Linked DNA regions of Arabidopsis thaliana. The protein of the gene in region 1 interacts with the protein of each later gene in a pairwise test. Each region holds a gene or a part of one and is shown on either strand. Other genes may lie near its edges.

Region 1 (5,023 bases):
CTTCTCATTGCTGACTAAAATTTACTTTGTTCTTCACAGCGGTAGTGGTTTTGGACCGTGAAAGTGGTTTATCAAGGGGCTTTGGTTTCGTAACATATGATTCGATCGAAGTTGCTAATAACGCAATGCAAGCTATGCAAAATAAGGTGATGCCAATTTTCCGGCTTATTTTGGTTGCTAATTATCATGAGTCTAATTACTTTCTCACTTTACTTTCTTTCCATATCCTTAAAATCTTCTTACTTTGTGACATAAGTTTGTTTCTAGTACACTAGTTTGTATATTAGCAATTTATCATATAGCTTGTAATGCTACTCCTGTCTCTCTCGTTTGATAAGTAACTCTTTTAGTAAAGAATCATACTGTGAAATTAGACCATTCTTTTCATTGCTTTGTTTATCTCATTTTCTTTAGACAGAAAGAGAGATGTTTTGGTACTACGTTGCTGCTTCAGAAACCAATGGGATTGTTCTTTCTTTCTTTGCTTGATTATGTCAATCCGCCATTTATAGAGTTTCCTGCTTAAATAGGAGCTTGATGGGCGAATAATTGGAGTGCATCCAGCTGATTCAGGAGGTGGTGGGGGTGGTGGTGGTTTTGCAAGAAGGGGAGGTTATGGTGGTGGTCGTGGGGGATATGCTCGTGGTGGATTTGGTCGCGGTGGATTTGGTGGTGGTGGCTATGGCTTTGTTCGTTAACTGGACATCCAGATATGTCTACCGCCAAGATTGATTAGTCTGTGGTTTAATTTTCTCTTCACAAAGACCACTATTTTGTTATAACAACGCTCTTATGCTTGAACAAACATATCAAGCGGCTAAAGTTGGCAAAAACATTTGTTGATTCAATTGGTATTTGATACAAATTCATAAAAGGGTACAAATTTGGAGATATGAATAATGAGTTTAGCTAAACGAGAATAATCACTATAGAGGCTTTTAGTCCAATGAGTTTATGAGAGATTCAAACTTAAAGATAAGCCAGTCTGCATTTGCTGCAACGGCTTCACGAAGCTGAACTCCAGCGTAGCATATGAACAAATCTGCGCCACCAGGTTTACGTGCCTGCAAGTATATTACCTTAGTTACTCAAGACAGTATTTGAGAGTTCATTGTAATCTGCAAATTCTCGGTTGATAATAGCTTACTTCGAGATCAGTAGCACCATCTCCAATCATGGCCATAGTCTTGTAGAGACGACCCTGGAAAGAACCAAGTTTCATTGGTACAAAGTGTTGTACTTAAGAAGAGATATGGGAGCTTGCAAATTAATAAAGTTCCGTGAACCTTTCGTATTTGTTGCACTGCCTTGGCTTTGCCTCCACTTCTTGACGTAGGTTCGTTCTCATCAAATCCCAGAAACTCGCCGGAGTTTCCAAATAGAAGATTGTTGGCAAAGATATTCTCCCGAGGGATGCCAAGAATCGATGCTACAGGCTACAGTGAAAAGAAATTGAATCATAACCTTATCACCATGATTGTAGTATTCTACACAAGAATTGATGCAGCTGGTCTTAGTAAAGAACATGAAGAAACTAGGGAGAGAGATAGAGTACATTGATCATCTGTCGAAAACCTCCAGATATCAAATAGACATCAATGTTATTGGCTCTGAGTTTCTTGACCAACTCTTCAATGCCAGGAGATAGCCTAAACAAACCAAAGAAACACACTATAATAACAAACTTGAGAAAGTAATCTGGACATATCTTAAGCAGGAATCAAGCCAGCTAGATGTCTATTGGTCAAAGTCTAATTCAAGACAAGAACATGGGCCAATGGAACACTTACAAGTAAAATCTATCTTTATAAGTGAAACGATTTATTTAGCAGAGTGAATCATGGGAAGGTAGCTCGCATCATACCAAAAGATCAAAATCACAACACATGCAAAGTAACTGTAACCAAAATCAATACCTTGGGGGTCTCTTGTCGAGATATTCCTCTACTTTTGAAAGAGAAGGCTTGAATAAAGAAAGTCTTGCAGCTAGAGCTTCTTCAAATGGAACAGATCCACCCATAGCTCTAAGAACAGCAATACTCGATAAGTTAACATAAAAAGGCAGTAAAAATCATCAGAGCTTTAGCATATATATGCGTTGAGATGGACCAAAAACCTGGCAGTCCATTCAGCAACAGCCTTTCCAGCTCCACAAAACTCAGCAAGTTCATCAATACCTTCATCCACACAAACCGTGCTGTCCACATCGAAACATACCGCTTCAACACTTCTCCAAAGATCAAGAATTTCTAGCAATTCAGAAAACCAACAACCAAAAGTAGAAAGAAACTCAGCAATCTATAAACAATTCAAAAGCTTAAAACAGTTTGTAATTTAACTCTTAGAACTCTTCCTTCATACCTCCTAGTACCAAGCAGCTCAGGTTATTCCCTAAAATCTAAATTCAACAGATTCTGAAGTAATTAGAATTAGTTACCTTTAGAAGGAACAATGTTGCCTTCATGCCCCAAAGTCGACAACTCGTGAGGCTGCACAGAAGCAGTCACTGGACGAAGCAATTTGGGATGGTTCATAATGGAGACAAGACCTCTACAAGGATATCTCCTTAACTCAAGGCAAGAAAAATTAGCAAAAAGTGAAGAGAGCTTTCTACAGGGGACCTGAACTGGCACAACCCTTGAAGTAGTTAATGCTTCCATTAAACTTGGAGCTACAAGAAAACAAGAGTGCCCAATAAGTCTGACGTTCATTTTGAGAGAACCTTGGAGATGAACAAATCAAAGTTAAGTTTACAAACACACAAATTTGGTCGAATGAGCTTATAGAACATGACCTTCTACCTCACATACATCAAATTTCATACAACAATTGGGGACGTGAAAGAGATTAAATGTAATGTTGTGATTTTGTAACAGTCAATTGTGAAAAGAAGGAATCCACGTGATCTATATCATCAAAACCCGAACGAAAGCAGAGATTTTACGATGTAAGATTGGGATCAGAGATCAGTACCGCGAGAAAGCAGATCAGATGAGAACAATTGCCAACCGGAAATCGCCGGCGGTCGTCTTCGGCTGCTGCTTGGAGGATCCGATCAATTAAAAAAAAAGCCACTGAGAAGAGTGTTTGTTGGTTGGTGAAGTCAAATGACAATTTTACCCTTTATTAGTTATATACATTAACCCGTCAAAATGACATTTTTATCCTTTGTGTTTTGTTTTGATTGGTTGTGTTTGGGGTCAATTCAGACAATCAGAAATTCAGATTTGATTATCTCCGGTCATAACAATTCCGGTGAAGGTAACGTAACCTTAAATAAATATATTTCCGTCTCCTTACTTGAAATCAAAATGTACAATTTTTATCAGAGGCAAGTGGGGAACAGCTGGAAAAACAGACAAAGATGGAACAAAAAAATGTCTCTATCTCCATAGATTCCATCATTACATTAGATTGAGACCCACACACACTACTCACATGATCACTTAGTTAGCTAAACAAGTAAAAGGGTAGGAAGAGAGTGAACAAGACTATGAATCCAAATCTTGGGCTTTGGAGTTTGAATCCAAAGGATGGATCTGTGTAATCCGGGTTAATACCAGACGGTATTCCCAAACCTCCTCCTGTTGATGGTGTGATTGTGTAGGGTCTTGTATTAGTTGTTGTAGGGACTCTTGTCGAAGGTGTTGTCGTCACTGGAGTCGTTGTCCCACTTCCACTGCATTAAATGGTAAATAACAACAAACATACAAACACATCTCTCAGATTGTATCAATCAGCTTAAACAAAGATCTAGAGTGCAAAGATCCTCAAGACCAAAGCCAATTCTTGTTTGCAAAACAACAAATAAGAAGTGAAGAAAGAAAGAAGGGTGTGTACCTGGCACTTGCAGGGAAAGGACAAGTAGTGTAGCCTATATCATAAGACCACAATGGTACAAGAGACAACAGTTACTAATAAAAATGATATGTTCTACAATCTAGTTTCAAATCTGTGTAGAGAATCTTGAGTTGTGATACTATATAATAAGATAATGGATACTTTATTTATCATATCATTCACATTGAAACATGTGAAGTTTAGATTAATATAAACTAGCCTTTCTGATTTGCTTTCAAGTTGGGTTCCATTTTTCAACTACTGCTTTTAACTTTACCTAGTTAAGTTACCAAATATGAACAAATTGTTTTTGCACTAATTCTAATGTAGTGAGGTTGGTAGGAGAGACTCACTGGGATCAGAGGCTGAGAAGGTGGCTGTGCCAGCAAAGTCACAAGTGCCCAGAGACTGACCTTTCTTCTGAAAGAAGCTGTTGACGGCGTAGGAGCAGTGAGACTTGACGGTGTTAGGGTTAAAGCAAGGCCCGGTCTGGTGAATGGGTCCACAATCAGCTCCTGCACCACATGCGTAGTCCAATGTCTTCTGCAGCATTGCCTCGCTTAACCCTTCTTTGCATACACACCATGTCCCACCTAAAGACACACATAAACACTTCAATGAGCATTCTTCAAATCTCATTCACTGATAATGTGTGAAATGGAACACCTTAATGTTTAATTCAAGAGGGGACAAGATTGTTGAACTCCACAGTCAAAAAGGAAATATGAAAAGAAGGTATGGGTAAAAGCAAAAATGGCCCTTCTTTGTGGAAAATTTCATTAAAAACTATGAAAGCTAAGAAGTTTGTGACTATGTTGTTCTGTTGTAAAACAGAGTGGGTGAACAAAGAAAAGAAGAATCGTTTTGCCATAGAAGAAAAGAAGAGGATCTATATGAGACAGAGAAGGATTTGAAAAGAGACGAAGATATACTTACTTGAGTGACCAGCCATGGCCAACAAAATCATCACAAGAACAAAAACTGCCATGGTCGCTGTACCAGAACGAAGCACTTTGGGATGGAGCCAGTTGCAGGGAGAGAGAAAAAGAGAAGGATAATGGAGGAGATTGAGAGAAGGTTTTGAAGGTAACAAGAGGTGTGAATAAAGAGAGAGAAAGAGAGTCACTGCGTTGAAGACAGTGAAAAAGAAATTCTTTTTATTTGCTTAGATCCTGCGGACCAA
Region 2 (4,260 bases), on another chromosome or scaffold:
GAGATCCACAGAGAGTTTGATTCCGACAGCGATGAAAGTCAGAGAAGTGGCGTTGAGAGAGAAGAACTTACAGGGAAACCAGAATTTGCGGTGTCGGAAGCCGTGTATAAGATCGGCGGCCATGGCTAGACCACAGATGAGTGAAGCTACGGCAACGTAGATACCAATCGAAGGTAAGGGTTTGCTGAACTCTGCATCGTTCAAATCGCCATGGGCGTCGCAGCCGAGGATACCCATCAATCGAATTCAAGGATTTGATCGAAAAAGCTCTTCTTCAAGTTGACTCCATGGAAATGAGTGATCTTGTTGACATCATTCTAGAGACTGGAAAAGTAGCAAACTTTGACTTCTCTGACCGATTTTGAGCACAAATTCCAACCTTTCTACTACACTCTTCTATGACCATTTCAACTAAATTTCGGATAGACACTGTTGAATCGCAGATCAACCGGGAAAAACTCACGGGAAGAAAGTGTTTCTGCCTGCTTTCGTGGAGTTTGGAAAAGGCCTGGAGTGATCCACCTATCATGGGCCTAATAATCGGCCCAATTAGTTTTGTTACTGGATGTGTTAATAATGATGAAGAGTAGAAACTTTGACTTGTCTGATAAAATGATCACACTCCTTTCATGACCATTTCGATTCAATTGAGGAATTAGGCACTGTTGAGTGACAGATCAAATGTCCTAGGATCTATAAACAATTGACATTCCATGGAATCAGCTTTAGGGGGTTTTGAGCAATCATCATCACCAATCAGGTTATTCGAGGGATCCAGTTTGTTTGTTTTTGAATTCAGCTTAGGGGAACAAAAGAGTTAAGATTGTGAAAACAAATGACATGAATCACTTGATTCGATAGCAAACACAAAAGCAGGACTAATCTCTCTCACACACACAATGTCTCAACTTAAACAGAGAAAACTAGTCAATGTCCCAAAATGAAAATATAGTAGAGTACTAGCTAAAAGAGAGGTAGAGAGATCATTCATTCAATAGGGTTTCTTTTGTTGTTGATGGTGGTCATGTCGTCAGGAGGTATGACAGCAATCCTGAGAACACCAAATTCTGCATCCCAAGCGATGGTGTTGTTCGAAATTAAAGCGGGAAAAGGACTTTGGACGCTTCCGAGGTAGGTTCGACCGCTCTCATCGTGTTCATACACGTCCTTGATCTCAGCTTTGAATCTGATTTCCTTTTCATCAGCATACACTTCCACATCATCCGGACTAACACCTGGCATGTCCACTGCAAAGTGAGCCCCTCCTCCCGCTTTTGTCACCCCAATTAGTGCTCCCTTGCGACCAGACACCAGACACGGATGATCCTCCAAGCGTATTCCGGATTGACCTTAATAAAGAACAGAGAGTACTGTATTAACAACAAATGATGCAGCAAAAGAGATTGTGACTTTAGAGAAGAGGAATGAGTCGAACCTGTAAAAGGAGGCACAGTGAGAGTACACTTGTTGTTGTTGTTGTCTTGAGCCTTGCTCACAACCTTGACCCTTGTGAGAATCATCCTCAAAACTCCATCTTTCATTTTGGCATCCACGCCTGTGATCTCGCAGCAGTCACAGCCAAGCCCAGCGGTTCCAGAGTACTGACGCACACCTTCCTTGCCGTTGTTCAGAGTTTCACCGGAGAAAAAGACAACCTTTTGTCTCACGGCGTCAACTCTGTAGCGAACGGCGTCGTCTGGAACACCAGGCAAGTCGACACGCACGTAGAGATTGTCGTTCTCCAGAACCTTCACTTGAACGAAACCCTTTGGACCCGCTTTCTGAAACTGATTGTTCGTCGCGTAGAACCCCTCTGTAATAATAATAAGTAAACAAAGATCAAAACTTGATGAAGAAAAGTATACAGAGAACAAAGGAAGACACTTATCAAAGATGGAACTAACTCGATCTGCTTCATTTTCATGAATCATGCACAGTAAAAAAACTGTAAATCTTTGTACCAAGTTCATGTTAACACTTCACAAGTAAACAAATTGAGACAACTTTCTAGAAAAAACACATATTTTCCGAGAAAAATTAGAACAATGTTGTTCTTGGGAAATCTAGTAGCTCGTGAAAAGAGATACCTCGAACTTTAGGAATTCTTGACATGTCCCTGAAATCTGCCTTTGTCTCACCCATCTCTCTCTTTGTTTTTTGCTCTCTCTTCTCTTCTAGTTCAAGGTAGGTTGCGTAAAAATGGCGTTTTGTTCTCCTGTTGATAAATATAGACGAAGCACCATCTTGTGGTACAGACTGTGACGTGGCACGCTCCAGCTGGCTTTTTTTTAACCTTCATAGCATAAGTTTGACTGGTCTTGCCTACGTCACCGACTCTCTCTCTCGGTAAGAAAAAAAACTTGCTTTTACTCTTTTGATTTTTTTTACGGTAGAGAATAAGCTGACGTCACCAGCTCTGTGAGCTATCCCACGCTTTTTTTACTCCTTTCGTTTATATGTAATTATGTACGACAAAAATGACTGCAAAAGTAAAACCGTACCCACACTCTTCACTCTTCATTAATTTTCAAACATTTTTGACAAGACGACGCTGACGTCAGCAATCTTCAAGAGTAAAAAAATTATGAGCTCTCAATTATCTTTTTTTTTTTCATCAAAGATCAAATAAGGTTTCAACCGTCGTTTAGTGTTTATCCAATTATTACGACAACGCTATTAAAAAGTTTGATCCCTACTTACAACAACATATATCTATTAACATGTCCAGGTTACATACTCGTAATCCGGTTTAATAATGGCAAAGATCTATATAGTCTTATCGAATAGCTAGGTTAATGTAAGATTAAATAGAACAAAGAAAGCTGACAACTTTTTCTTTATTGAGATCACGACATATAGAAGCAAGATCGTTCTTAACTAAACCACAAAATGATAAACATAAAGCAGTAGCTGCATCAAAGTTCATAGATAGATAGAGACGCTAGACACAAGTACCATTACGAGACACAAACCAAGGTGTTGTTAAATCAGTAATGGAGGATCCTCTCCTTGACATTAATGGAAGCGTTTTTGCCTGGGATCTTAGGGACGGTGATCCAGAGCACTCCGTTGATAAGCTTCACTTTAGTTTTCTTGACGTCGTAAGCCTCAGGGTTGAAAATCATGGAGCCTCCGTATTTGCGTCCGGCGTTTTCGTACTCAGGCATTGCTGGTTCGTCGGCGAAGAAGTGGACGTTGTTGGCGTCGACCCAGTAGGTGAGATCTGACTCGGGACAACCAGGCATGTCGACTCTCGTCACGCAAGATTTCTTCGTCTCTGTCACCTCGTACACCGCTTGACTCCCACTTTTCTGAAATCGGTTCCTTACTGTACATACATAAGATAAAACAAACACAAATTCGTTATTAGAAAGAGAGATTTGACGTGTAAACTATAAAGGTTTGATTTTTATAAGAAATGACAGTGAAAGATGAAAACTTTACTTGGAGACGGAATTTCGCCGGAACTGCCTGCGTTAACTTCCATGTTCCTACTCATTTGCTCAAAACGATGCTCTTTCTCTTTCTTTTGGAAGGAAACTGAGTGAGCAAAGTCGCTCTACTCCACTTGCTATTTATAGCCGAGGAGGACTATAGGGTTTGGGAAAGGCCTGGAGTGACCTATCATTTGGCCCATTAATCGGCCCAAGGAGTGTTAAAAATTCGAAATTGTTTCTGATTTGGTGAAATTGATCGAAAAGCTCTTCTAGTTGAACTCCATGGAAAGGAGTGATCTTGTAGAGTGTTGACAATTGACATCAATCTGGAGACTTTGACTTCTCTGAACAATTTTTAGCACAACCGGAGTGACCACCTAATATGGGCCTAAGAATCGGCCCATTTAGTTTTGTCGGGGGATGAATTATAAACAATTGACATTTGATGGAAGAAACTAATATTCAATATCAGCTTAGCTTTAGGTAAATTATGCAATGGACCCAATTTGTTTCAATCGGCTTAGAGGAAAAAAAAAGAGTTAAAAGTTTGTGAAAACAAATGACATGAATCATTGGGTACCATAGCAAACACAAGTATGTATATGTTAGTTACTTGTGTATTTGGCCCATACATCGGCCCAATGAGTGTTTGAGCCTTTAAAATTCGAAAACTGCTTTTGATTTGGTGCAGTATATGTTAGTTATTCAGCTTCCATCTAATCTCCTCCATACACATTATAATTTAAGTTGCTCTGAGTTTTATTTGATTCTTACTGAAGATTGGTCCAGAAACTTTCCTAGTACAATGAACTCTTGTTTCAAA

Evidence for each region.
Region 2: the proteins of PSP (region 1) and AT5G47590 interact in a two-hybrid assay, tested with the Arabidopsis thaliana proteins (one large-scale study listed by BioGRID).

What each region holds. Positions count from the first base shown.
Region 1 is NC_003070.9:6,415,586-6,420,608, forward strand, and holds PSP (3-phosphoserine phosphatase), read right to left. Parts: upstream 3,109-5,023; 5' UTR 2,974-3,108; intron 2,672-2,973; 5' UTR 2,661-2,671; coding exon 2,438-2,660; intron 2,250-2,437; coding exon 2,117-2,249; intron 2,025-2,116; coding exon 1,917-2,024; intron 1,650-1,916; coding exon 1,556-1,649; intron 1,437-1,555; coding exon 1,287-1,436; coding exon of another isoform or gene 1,202-1,286; coding exon 1,148-1,201; intron 1,065-1,147; coding exon 939-1,064; 3' UTR 699-938; downstream 1-698. Other genes in the region: GR-RBP6 (glycine-rich RNA-binding protein 6), read left to right, coding at 40-146, 531-698; PDCB3 (plasmodesmata callose-binding protein 3), read right to left, coding at 3,451-3,679, 3,841-3,874, 4,194-4,433, 4,777-4,828. UniProt on the Arabidopsis thaliana protein: Catalyzes the last step in the plastidial phosphorylated pathway of serine biosynthesis (PPSB). The reaction mechanism proceeds via the formation of a phosphoryl-enzyme intermediates. Required for embryo, pollen and root development.
Region 2 is NC_003076.8:19,296,958-19,301,217, forward strand, and holds AT5G47590 (Heat shock protein HSP20/alpha crystallin family), read right to left. Parts: upstream 2,218-4,260; 5' UTR 2,143-2,217; coding exon 2,088-2,142; intron 1,814-2,087; coding exon 1,436-1,813; coding exon of another isoform or gene 1,350-1,435; coding exon 988-1,349; 3' UTR 657-987; downstream 1-656. Other genes in the region: ASG7 (uncharacterized protein), read right to left, coding at 1-237; AT5G47600 (HSP20-like chaperones superfamily protein), read right to left, coding at 2,988-3,328, 3,445-3,499.